3 linked regions of the Xenopus tropicalis genome follow. The protein of the gene in region 2 purifies or fractionates together with the protein of the main gene of each other region. This does not show direct contact. Links are inferred from orthologs where the notes say so. Each region holds a gene or a part of one and is shown on either strand. Other genes may lie near its edges.

Region 1 (4,272 bases), on a different chromosome or scaffold from region 2:
TGGACTAAACTTCTAAGGTGCATTTGACCAAAACCAAAAAATATGACTACGTAGTTATGGTAAAAATAAAAGTTAAATCATAGTATCCACCATTACACAGATGCACTATTTATATGTAGCAAATGCAAAACTTTCACAAGAATTTTACACTATAAAATGTTTTCATTTGGGCAAAAGGCTGGAGATGGAGGAATAATAGAACCAACTTGGGGCAAGTGTTCAGATTTCAGAAATGAAATATTTATCCTTCTTTCTAGGTTTTTCTATCATTGGTAACTTATACTCACTAGTACACTTTACATTGTTTTAGTAACAGTGTTTTAGTAGCAGACCCTAAATGGTTCAAGAGCTGCAACACTGTTGGTACCATGCACATTATCTGGTGGGAAATAAAATAAGTTGTATTTACCGGTACATGGGTCCTCTCCGACTTCATCCCTGATATTTACCTGGCCAACATATTAGGCAGTGTAGAAAAAAAAAAAAACCCATTGGGAAGAGCACCACATACGTATTGATGTGGACCTCTCCCAACAGCCTGCATTAGCAGCCATTATGATCCAATCATTGGTCGAAGGCCTAACAATCAGTGTGGTGCTGTGACATATGGGACAAAGATCCACTCATTTGGCAAACTAGGTGGTATGACCAGCTTTATATGTGGGGATGAAGTGTTTATACTGTCGGATCTGTGCAAGGGGCACTGTGAGTTTAATGGAAACCAGATATGCAGAAATCTCCCATTGTCAATTTTATGCAAAATCTTTTTTTTTAATTACATTTTCTCTGTAATAAAACAGTATCTTGTACTTTACAGCAACTAAGCTGCATAAAAACTTGTTAGTGATAAAGCAATCCTATTGGCTTTATTTCATAGTTACATGTTGTTTTAAGTAGGTATGGTGATTTAAATTGTTGAAAAAAAACTTAATTTTGGTTTGTTCTTACCTGAAGTACCTTACAGGCGCAGAGAGCATCAACATCAGGTGCAACAAGGAGAAGAACGCGCTGGAAATCAGAGAAGAGACAGTGAGTGGTGTCATATCATTTATTTGGGAAAAAAAATCCTTTATCCCGGTTACCCTTCTCACCTCGGTAACGATCACGTCGTAAAACTCTTTACGGAGATCACTCACAAACATCTCGACAAGTTGACGGCTGCCCTCGAAACTGGCGCCAAAATCCCTTAGAGCAGCGGTGGCCAATCAAACAGCCCGTTTCGTCGTGACATACACCAACCCCGCCCAATCCGTGAAGGCTCAGCGCAAGATAAACCCCGCCTCTGCGTCCTACAGTTTAGCAGCCAATTGGTCGCTTCCCGATATCTGACAGCGGTCTATTAACTTCCGCTTTTAGCGTGTTGCTTCTTGGGATTCGTAGTTTCTCTTGTTCCGATCGTCTGATTCGCAATTATATTTACTTCCGGGAAGGACGGTGACTAAGATAGTGTTAGGTCCGCCGGGATAATAAGAGAAAGCCGGTAACAAAATGGTAAGATCTGTCTTCCACATTTGTGATAGCGTCATGTCATGTATACCTATATATCATCATAAAACACCATTTACCTGCCAGGTTTTATGGAGGCTGAACAGTGACTGAGGGGTTAGTTTTTTACTGCTATATGCATCTTGGATGGGAAAGAAGAGTTGTTGTATGTAAGATTTTTTTTACATGAAAAATAACAGTATGATTTTAATCTGAATGTATGTTTCCGTAATAGTTTTTGTTTTTACAGATCACTTAAATAACACTAAAAGGGTAAAAACAAAGTAAAAAAGAATTTCTCAAATTATCACGATGTATCTTTATGTTGCTTAATGAAATAACAGCTCCAAAATCTCACTAATTCCATTCTCTTTTAGTTTTCTTTCAACATGTTTGACCACCCCATACCCCGGGTTTTCCAAAACCGCTTCTCTACTCAGTACCGTTGCTACTCCGTTTCCATGTTGGCGGGTCCCAATGACCGATCTGATGTGGAGAAAGGAGGGAAAAGTAAGTAATATGTGACTAAGAGCTGTACTGTAATTTTTTCAAGATAAAATTATTTAAACATAGGTAATAATATCTAATAATCATAAACTAGACCACTTTTTTGTGGGCCACAAGCAGACTGGGATTTAATATATGCCCTTGCATTTCAAGGCCCCTGCTAGTTCACTAAATAGTGCTTGTCTATGGCATCTAACAGCAGTCCTTTTGGAATTTGCCAGAATCCACACATTGCCAGTCCAGGCCTGGTCACAGGTCATGAGATCTCTGTTATCATCATGTACCATCATGCAAACTGTACAGGATGTGGAAAGTGGACACAATGGTAATTCTTGGCCACACATATCCAGTACAGGTATGTGATCCGTTATCCGGAAACCTGTTATCCAGAAAGCTCTAAATTACGGCAAGGCCCATAGGCTGCATTTTAATTAAATAATTAAAATTTAAGAAAATAATTTCCTTTTTCTCTGTAATAAATCAGTACTTGTACTAAATCCCAACTAGGATATAATCAAACCTTATTAGAGACAAAACAATCCTATTTGGTATATTATGTTTAAATACATTTTGAGCAGACTTAAGGCATGAAGATCCAAATTACACAATGACCGCTTGTACAGGAAAAACCCCTGGTCCTGAGCATTAAGTATTATAGGTTCTATATTATATAAGAGGTTTTCAATCAATTGTTCTGTAGAAAGAATGAATGGCATTTGACCCATGTTTATTATGCTGTGTAAAAACAGCACCATTGTACTCTGCTGTGTAGATGTGTGCCTTTTTACCCTATTCTTTTGGTTGTGCCATATACTTCATATAACTTGTAGTAGTGTTTCTGAAGCAAACATACACTTTTTACCAGTGCAGGGTAATAGTATATTATATTTACATACAGATAAAACCTTTTCTTGTTTTTTGTTTTACTGGTCCTTTCATGAGTGAGGAAAAACAAAAATTCTAGTCAAAGGAGATAATTCAGTCTTTAAAAAGTGGAGCACTTTCAGTGATTCTTTATTCATTTTTGAAAAAGGGTCACTGGAAGTAATGTGTATAGTGTATGGTGTGTCACAGACTATACTACTGTAACTTTTCTTGTTCTTCTTTTTTTCAGTTATCATGCCTCCATCTGCTTTAGATCAACTCAGTAAGTATGCTCTGCCTGGATTACTTGATTAAATCTTAGGCTAACGCCACATGTAGCATATGGAGCGTATTTTCGGCAAGCCAAAAAACACTTGCTAAGAATACGCACCATACGCTAAAAAATGCCCCTACCTGTGCCTGCACCCTAATGAATGAAATACGATACGGTGCAGGAACATGTAGCCGAAAATATGAAGTCTTGGAGCGTATTCCATTCATTCGGGTGCAGGCACAAGGTAGGCCAAATCGACAGTAGCAGGGCGTATTCTCGGCAAACGTTTTTCAGCTTGCCAAAAATACGCCCGTGTGGCATTAGCCTTAGTGCATCAGAGGGCCCAAACACTTCTGCCTCAGCATTACCAGGGAAATATGCCTGCTGCATCGCTACACTTATGCTGTTTGTAATTCTGGCATAATAATGGCATATACCAGAGTCCGTTGGGTTTTACTTACCCTTTGACTGAGCAAAGAAGTGACAGGGGCACACATTCTAAACCGGCTGATAAAGGTGTACATGAAAATGTCACAATTTTCCAAAGCTGATCTGTCTACAGCAGGTAGTATTGTGAAAAACAGTGTGACTGCTTACCGTGGATTTTCTGTGGATGCATTCTCTTTGATATGTTAACATTACTTTTTCCAAATGAAATACAAATCTTTAAAAGCTGATGCTAGAGAACCTGTGTATTTGTTTCAAAATCAGATTAGTTTTATTGTAAAAATAGAGCTACTGTGGCACAAAAGGTAACAGCGCAGTTACCAATTTATCATATTTATTTTCTACAGGTCGTTTGAACATTACTTACCCCATGCTCTTCAAGCTGACCAATAAAAATTCTGACAGGATGACACATTGCGGTGTTCTTGAATTTGTTGCAGATGAAGGCATATGTTACTTGCCTCATTGGGTAAGGAATATTTACAAAACTTACACATTACACAGGTGCATACAATCCCACACCTGACCCAGAATTGTACCCCAAAAACCTTTTAAGGAATGTACACTTTACCTGTATGTTTTCAAATGTGAGAGAGACCCAGAGTATCTGGAGGAACCCCACACAAATGAGAAGTGAGATTCAAACTGGGGACACTAGCATGGCAAGGCAGCACAGCTAACCACTAAGCCACCGT
Region 2 (3,197 bases):
GCCCTGAACATTTTCAACACTTGCTGTAATGACTGCATTATTTTATACATAGAGGTATACTGGCTTCTCACTTGGAAGTCATGAGAGAAATTGTAGCGGACTTAAAGAGAAATAATTCTTGAACATATGACTATGAAGATTTTCATTCATACAGGTCATGGTATATCTAGTATAAATAAATCTAAAGCAACTGGACTAGTTAAGTAATCATTGAAGACGTTTCACTACTCATCCAAGCAGCTTCTTCAGTTCAACTGAAGAAGCTGCTCGGATGAGTAGTGAAACGTCTTCAATGATTACTTAACAAGTCCAGTTGCTTTAGATTTATTTATACTAGAAATATTTGAACAATTTCAATGCAGATCATCATTCAGTGTTGTTGTATTCATAAGCTGGAAAGGAACTTGTAATTAAATACAGCACTACGCACTGATGCTTGAAACTTGATACTTTCCAGAGAAATTCCCAGATAAGCATGCACACACCAAATGGAGAGAGGATAAATGTTTCATAGCAAGCTTTACTTTAAAACACAGATTTTCCAACCAACCTCTCAATACAGGAGAGACTAATCCCATAATGCTTGGCTACCAAGTGTGTTAAGGATATTTAAAAAAAAAATTCACCTTATTGGTTCCAAATTAAGGGTAATAAATAACTTATAGTCAATCACAACTGCCATCACCGTTCTTGCCTTTTCACACTCTGGATATGCCTTATAAGAGATCCAAAGAGTCATCCGGAGCTCCCTAAAAAAGGAGATCAGAGCCTGGGTGTATATTGAAGGAGGAATGTGCTCTGAGTCCCCGTGGACTGATGGAGGAATAGATGAAATGCTGTTAAAATTATCATGAGAAGGAGGAGATTTTCTCCCTCACAGTGCAATGATCTTGCCTCTCCTGAGTCACAGTGTTAAATACTCCTCTTTGTTCCCACAATGAGCAAGGAAAATGGGAGGATTTTTCATACATGAACAACTGATGAGGGGAGAAAACAGACTGAGAGGCAGAATCTTATTAGAAGAGGAAAGTGACAGTAGGTAGGGTGATGACACAGCATAGAAGATGCTAATTCCTTTCTTGTACAAAGACAGTTTCTTGTGGACACAAACCAGCTTCTTGTAACGTAATGTCATAGTCCAAGTGGGACAGCTTGCGCCGGGGAAAGTTTGTGAGGAGCTCAAAGCGTTCGTTGGGATAGCCTTTCAGTTGTACATGTCGAACCAATGCCTAAAGGATGACATTTATAAAGAGAAAAGTAAGCAAGAAAAAAAAACTATAATCACAAAATAACGAAAGACTAGAGCATTTAAGAACATAAACACTTACAGCCAGATATCACTAATATATATTTAGACAAAATGGTGTGACTGCTCAAAGCAGCATGAATTAGGTATTATCTAGAATGTCAAACATTTTCCAGACATGAAAGTTTTTTTTTTTTTTTACAAGAAAACAGAATGACCATCTATCATAAAAGTGCATAAAAGGTCCATCTGAAATCTTCATATATTATATATGACCAGCATCTGTTTAAAAGCATGCTACAGAATGCATTGGCTGCAACACATCTCTGAGCAGCAGGAATGCAATTATTATCTACACTTTAGAAATCCTATACCATAATCTGTATTCTATATAACGTACACACAAATATACAGTATGTTTATAACTTTTCATTAGTTAATAGTTGTTGTAGACCTAGCCTTGCTTAGGTCTCTCTAACTTCCAGAGACACCTTTAAATAAGCTGGACTTAAAGTAGACATATTGGATAAATGGGAAAAAAAGGTAATTTTGTAGGCAATTATGAATAATATCCGGTGCTGGTTTCACTTTGGGCTAAAAATTAACCCTATCTGTAACAATGGCCCCTTTATTGGAGCTCCCTATAGATCCTCTCACTTCTCTGTCCGAGTTTGAAATGAAGAGTGGGCGTGTCCTAACGGTCCCTGCCAGAAGCACAGTAGGAGGGGGAGAGCCAATCACAGCCCTGCACTCACACAAGCAAAGACAGGCTTTAGTTCCCTATCAGGTCAGCCTAGCTGCTGATTGGTTCCTATCCTACAGTGCAGGGTACGGAGGGCCGCCGGCTCCCCAGCTCATCCAGAGAATTCAGCCAGCAGGAAGTGGAACAGATGGGCAGGGCTAGTGGGGTTTTTGTGGAATTTCTCAATAAATCGGTCAGAAACACAACTTTTTTTAAGCACAATCCTTCTATATCTAGAGGAGTATAATTCCCTGGTACATTCATAATTTTTATAGGATATGTCTCCTTTAAGCAAGGGTACCTGAAATACTTTACTCGTGGCGGATTGGCTACAGGAGCATTTTTTGCCTGGCAATACACAGTCACAGGTCATCCTGCATAAATCTCTCTTAGTGTAAACTTGTGGGATCCACAACAGACACTTTCTTCACTTTAACACAGGGGTGACCATTTCAGCATAAAACCCACAAATCATAAAAATAAATCCTGCCTCTGGGCTTTACCTTCACACATTTGACGAGTTCGCTCACTACACTGGGCCACTTGTGGACTACCAGTAAGAAAACACTAATGGTTGGGATCACCCCAGTACTCACAATACTTCTTACTCAGCTTCCTAACTTTCGCAGTTCCTCGGTAACTCTCAGTTGCTTGGCCATGGCTCCCTCCGCTCCTTGCCGTGGCAGGCAGCACCCCCAAGCCCCTCTGGGAGTTCCTAACACAGACAGGTAGGTTTCCTGCTTTGTGTCCCTGCACTGAGAGATCTTACACACATTCTTCATACAATTAAATACCTTTCCACAGGTCAGCCTTCCTGTGGAAAGTGAGCTCCAGTATGTGAGCTGGACTAGTGGAATGGATCGCCTGGTTTACTTATGGTCCCAAAAGTGCCATTAACAATTATCACTATTTATCACTTATGTATCCCAAATGCAGGTAACCTACAGTGTTTCTGCTGATACCAAAGGATACATACTAGTGACATGTAGGGTGTGCTTTAAACACTTCTGTAAGTAAACATGTTTAAAGTAAAGTCCACTTTAATAAAGGCTTTATGTATGAAAAAAACAAATAGCAACCGCTTGCTTTTCAAGTTTTGCAAACTACAGCTCCCAACAGAATTTAAAAGCTTCAGGATTTTAGGGGATGCTGCAAAATGTAGTTCAGAGCTACCAAAAAGCAGCAGGTTTAGTCGTAACAAGAATGCAG
Region 3 (4,202 bases), on a different chromosome or scaffold from region 2:
ATCTCTATAACGTCCGCCATCCTGAATGTTTCTCACACGTATTCCAGACCGGTACAAAGCTCTTCTGAAGTTAATGAGTTCTTGCTCTTGAATTTGCCTCATAGAACGACCCTCTGCACTGGCTTGTCGTCTGGAGGCTAGCCTTCTTATCATCTGGTGGATTTCTTCACCTCTTTGATGTAAATTCTGATTTGAAAACCCTTCAAATAAAATTCCATTGTCAGGAGGTGAAAATGTCCTTTGAGTGCTTGAAGACCTTAATGTCCGAATGGCTACATGATTGTCTCTACTCATAGTTGTGCGATAACGAAATCTATGTCCATCAGGACTGGCAAATGAACCATTCATTGTGGGCCTCAAGACATATTCTTTAAAATCATCCTCTGCTTTGACACTATGGAAAATGGAGTAAAAGGGCTGTTTGCATAGAGGGCATTCAGCTTTGTTTTTTGCCCATTCTTGAATGCAACGGAAACAAAATCTGTGCAGACATCGATCAAGATGTGACACATTATCAAACCTGTCCAAACATATTGGACACTTTGAGTCTGGGGAAGCATCTGTTGCAGTACCATGGTTTTGTAGTTTGCTTGTGCCAGCCTGGGGTGAAAAGCTGCCATCTAGTGAATAATTGTTAGAGGATGATGCCATCATCTAAAAAAGAAGAAAAACACATATTAAATTTTACAGTACTAGTCTTATTTGGTAAACTTATACATTATATGCAAAAGCTAAATAAATGTGATAATGCATCCCTACTCTTCGTGACGCTAAATGATATTATTATACGGTATCTCTTTGCACTGTATCTTAAGGGGTAGTTCAACTTAAAATTAACTTTTAGCATGATAACCTAAATTTTTTTTTATGAATTGTGGTTCGTGAAATATTTCCATAATTTATCCTGTAACTTTAAGACATAGAAATTTCAACAATTTGCAACTAGTCTTCATTTTTTTTTTTGTTAACTGTGGTTTTTCGGTTATTCCATTTTTTGTTCAGCAGCTCTCCAGTTTGGAATTTTAGCACCTATCTAGTTGCTAGGGTCTAAATGACCCTACAACAAGGCAGTAATATTATTGAGACACAGAGATGAATAGGAGAGGCACGAATAGGAAGATACGTAATAAAAAACACCAATAAGTTGTAGCCTCACAAAATGCTTTTTGGCTGCGGGGGACAGTGACCCACTTTTGAAAGCTAGAAAGAGTCAGAAGAAAAAAGGCAAAACATTTAAAAGCTATACAAAATGAAAAATGAAGACGAATTGAAAAGTTACTAAGAACTGGCCATTCTACAGGTATTGTACCTCTTATCTGGAAACCCCTTATCCTGAAAGTTCCGAATTACAGAAAGGCCTTCTGCCATAGGTTTCATTTTAATCAAATCATTAACATTTTTAAAAAATGATTTCCTTTTTCTCTGTAATAATAAAACAGTACCTTGTACTTGATCCCAACTAAGATATAATTAATCCTTTTTGGAGCAATCCTACTGGGTTTAATTACTGTTTTAATAATTTTATTAGCAGACTTAAGGTAGGGGATCTGAATTATGAAAGGACCCCTTATCCAGAAAACCCCAGGCCCAAAGCACTCTGGATAATGGGTCCCATACCTGCATAACATACTAAAAGGTAACACTGTAGGTGAGAATTTGTTGGAGACATAATATACAGACAGGTAAAAAAGGAACAGACGTACAGATGAATTCTAATTCAGCAAAAAAATGGGCTTTCAATGGTTTAGCCTGCATTCGGTTGTAGTAGGGATCTATGAATGTATAGACACATTAGGATCAATAAGACTATTTTAACCAGCCACTAAAGTAATGGAAACCATGGAGTTTCAGGTTTAAAATAAATATGCTGTGGCTGTACGCTGGGGTGTTCTATAACATTAAAAATGAATGTAAAGGTGAATAACCTACTGTGACCTACAGCACTTATATTTGCCTATTTGTGTCTGTTAGTTACCCTCCCATATAGATTGTAAGCTCTACGGGGCAGGGACCTCCATCCTCTTGTGTCCTCGACTCTTAACTTATTGCAGCTGTATTTATCTGTATTTATTATTATACTTTGTATTTATCTATTATCTTATTAACCTCCTGTTTGTATTAATGTATTCTACTGTACAGCGCTGCGTACATAATAAGCACTTTAGAAATAAAGATATATATACATACATACATACAACCTTATTAAGTTTTCCCACTGGTGTTATGAACCTACAGGGGTACCCAGAAAGTACTTTCTCCTGCACGTCCCTCTGCAGAGATGAAAAGCCCAGCCTACATAGGAGCCAAACATATACAAACCCAACTGAATCTCTGGTGTCAGCAAGCAATTGTGTGTTAGCGAGACAGCCCTAGATAAGCAAGGGGACAGCTGCCATATAAATACAGAAGCAGAAGTATACAGTGTGGTGGCGGTGTTGGAAAGAACACTATTATTACTATTACACCAAGGGTCCCGGTAAAATATTAATACAACTACTGGAAGGTAAAGAAAAACCGAGCCACCGATGAAACCTATAAGGCCGATTATGACAGCGGGTATAGTTCGGGGACGCAGTCACTCCAGTTTATACACAAACATATCTTACCGTGTCATTCGCTTCTTGCCTCGCTCCCGGCCTCCGCCGCTTGGTTCTCTTCTCCCTCATGGCGTGACCGTAAGCCGGGTCTCAAACCCGCGATATAGTCCCCGGACTTCCAGGCAATGCTTTCATTGATACCATTCGTGTTACACAATTCTACCCTCTCACCCCGCCCGGTACACTGTAAAGTCAGAGAAGGGAGGCATTCTGGGACAGGGAAAGTTCACTCTATATTCTACATAGCTAGCGCCCCCTAGCAGCCAGGAGGTCTGCCTGAAACGGATGTTGTCGAGCTTACGCTTAGCTCGTACAGGATGTGGTGGTGTTGCTATAGTAACGTAGAGGCGGAGCAAGGAATCATTGCTTGAATGATAGTTTACTGCGATAGAACGACCTCCAGTAACCATGATTTTAATAAGCAAGAGAGCAGTAGAATGGATTTATTCTCTGGTAAGGAAATCTGTATAATATATGATTGAATGAGTTACATGGCTTACGTCACGTAAAGGTATCATGTGTATTTTATGGTAAGGTTACCAGATTGTGTGAACGTCTGTGATACTTACTTGGTAAGTTTCACTATTTAAAGTCAATTAGTACAGCCCGGCAGCTTGTTTCTTATACTTGATGATCTGTTATCTATATATGACATACATCTCTCACACTAAGGACTAAGTTTTACATGAGGTAGTTATGTGCATGCCTATTTCCCAGTAGCACCCAGTCATCAAGCAAATTGCAGCCTCTCTCTTTGCTAAATATTATTATTATTCAATCAGCTCCAACATGCACTAGTGGGACTTGCCCCACTCCAAGACTGAAATAATAATCAGTTTATCTGTGCCCAACACAACTGCCCAACCATTTAGCTGTATATATTGGTTGCTTTTTTTTTTGTAAAATACAGTTTTTAACACCATACTCTATCAGCATATGCTTAGGTGTTTAGATGTTAGCACACAAGAAATTATATATATATATATATATATATATATATATATATAAGTATATGTAATTTCATCCCAGTATTTTGATAGTTACATCGTGTTGAAAAAAGACCAGAGTCCATCAAGTTCAACTCTTCCAAGTAAACCCAGCACACACAACCTATACTTACCATAACACATACATAAACTATATATACAAACATTAATACTAACTGTAGATATTAGTATCACAATAGCCTTGGGTACTATGCTTGTTCAAGAACTCATCCAGGCCCCTCTTAAAGGCATTAACAGAATCTGCCATTACCACATCACTAGGAAGGGCATTCCACAACCTCACTGCCCTCAGTGAAAAACCATCTACGCTGCTTCAAATGGAATGGATTTCTTCTGGTTATTATTTATCATAAATGTATTGCAAACAACATGGCTACCAGCACAAACAGTAGCCTTCCAAAATTCCAATGTGTACAAAGCTAGCAACTTATTTATAGATTGGATCACAAGAGAGGTAAAGGCATAACCTGTCAGAGGCTGGCCCATTAAATCATACATCGGAGAAGTGCAGATAGTGACCAGCAATCATTTTTTTTTCTTAATTTCCAAGTTTAATAGTGAGGTAAATCACTCAGGAACCCTAATACAGAAAACTGAC

Evidence for each region. The genes of interacting proteins can lie anywhere in the genome.
Region 1: the proteins of ubxn7 (region 2) and ufd1 purify together in Homo sapiens (affinity purification with mass spectrometry; 3 studies listed by BioGRID and IntAct, with this or other methods). This does not show direct contact. The link is inferred for Xenopus tropicalis from reciprocal best matches to the Homo sapiens genes UBXN7 and UFD1.
Region 3: the proteins of ubxn7 (region 2) and topors purify together in Homo sapiens (affinity purification with mass spectrometry; 4 studies listed by BioGRID and IntAct, with this or other methods). This does not show direct contact. The link is inferred for Xenopus tropicalis from reciprocal best matches to the Homo sapiens genes UBXN7 and TOPORS.

The regions. Positions count from the first base shown.
Region 1 is NC_030677.2:154,228,754-154,233,025, reverse strand, and holds the start of ufd1 (ubiquitin fusion degradation protein 1 homolog), read left to right. Parts: upstream 1-1,472; 5' UTR 1,473-1,488; coding exon 1,489-1,491; intron 1,492-1,862; coding exon 1,863-1,995; intron 1,996-3,106; coding exon 3,107-3,139; intron 3,140-3,924; coding exon 3,925-4,046; intron 4,047-4,272. Other genes in the region: cdc45 (cell division control protein 45 homolog), read right to left, coding at 949-1,008, 1,092-1,142. UniProt on the Homo sapiens protein: Essential component of the ubiquitin-dependent proteolytic pathway which degrades ubiquitin fusion proteins.
Region 2 is NC_030681.2:129,655,995-129,659,191, reverse strand, and holds the end of ubxn7 (UBX domain-containing protein 7), read right to left. Parts: intron 1,230-3,197; coding exon 1,068-1,229; 3' UTR 501-1,067; downstream 1-500. UniProt on the Homo sapiens protein: Ubiquitin-binding adapter that links a subset of NEDD8-associated cullin ring ligases (CRLs) to the segregase VCP/p97, to regulate turnover of their ubiquitination substrates.
Region 3 is NC_030677.2:115,119,616-115,123,817, forward strand, and holds the start of topors (E3 ubiquitin-protein ligase Topors), read right to left. Parts: upstream 2,801-4,202; 5' UTR 2,667-2,800; coding exon 2,607-2,666; intron 655-2,606; coding exon 1-654. Other genes in the region: smim27 (small integral membrane protein 27), read left to right, coding at 3,006-3,050. UniProt on the Homo sapiens protein: Functions as an E3 ubiquitin-protein ligase and as an E3 SUMO1-protein ligase. Probable tumor suppressor involved in cell growth, cell proliferation and apoptosis that regulates p53/TP53 stability through ubiquitin-dependent degradation.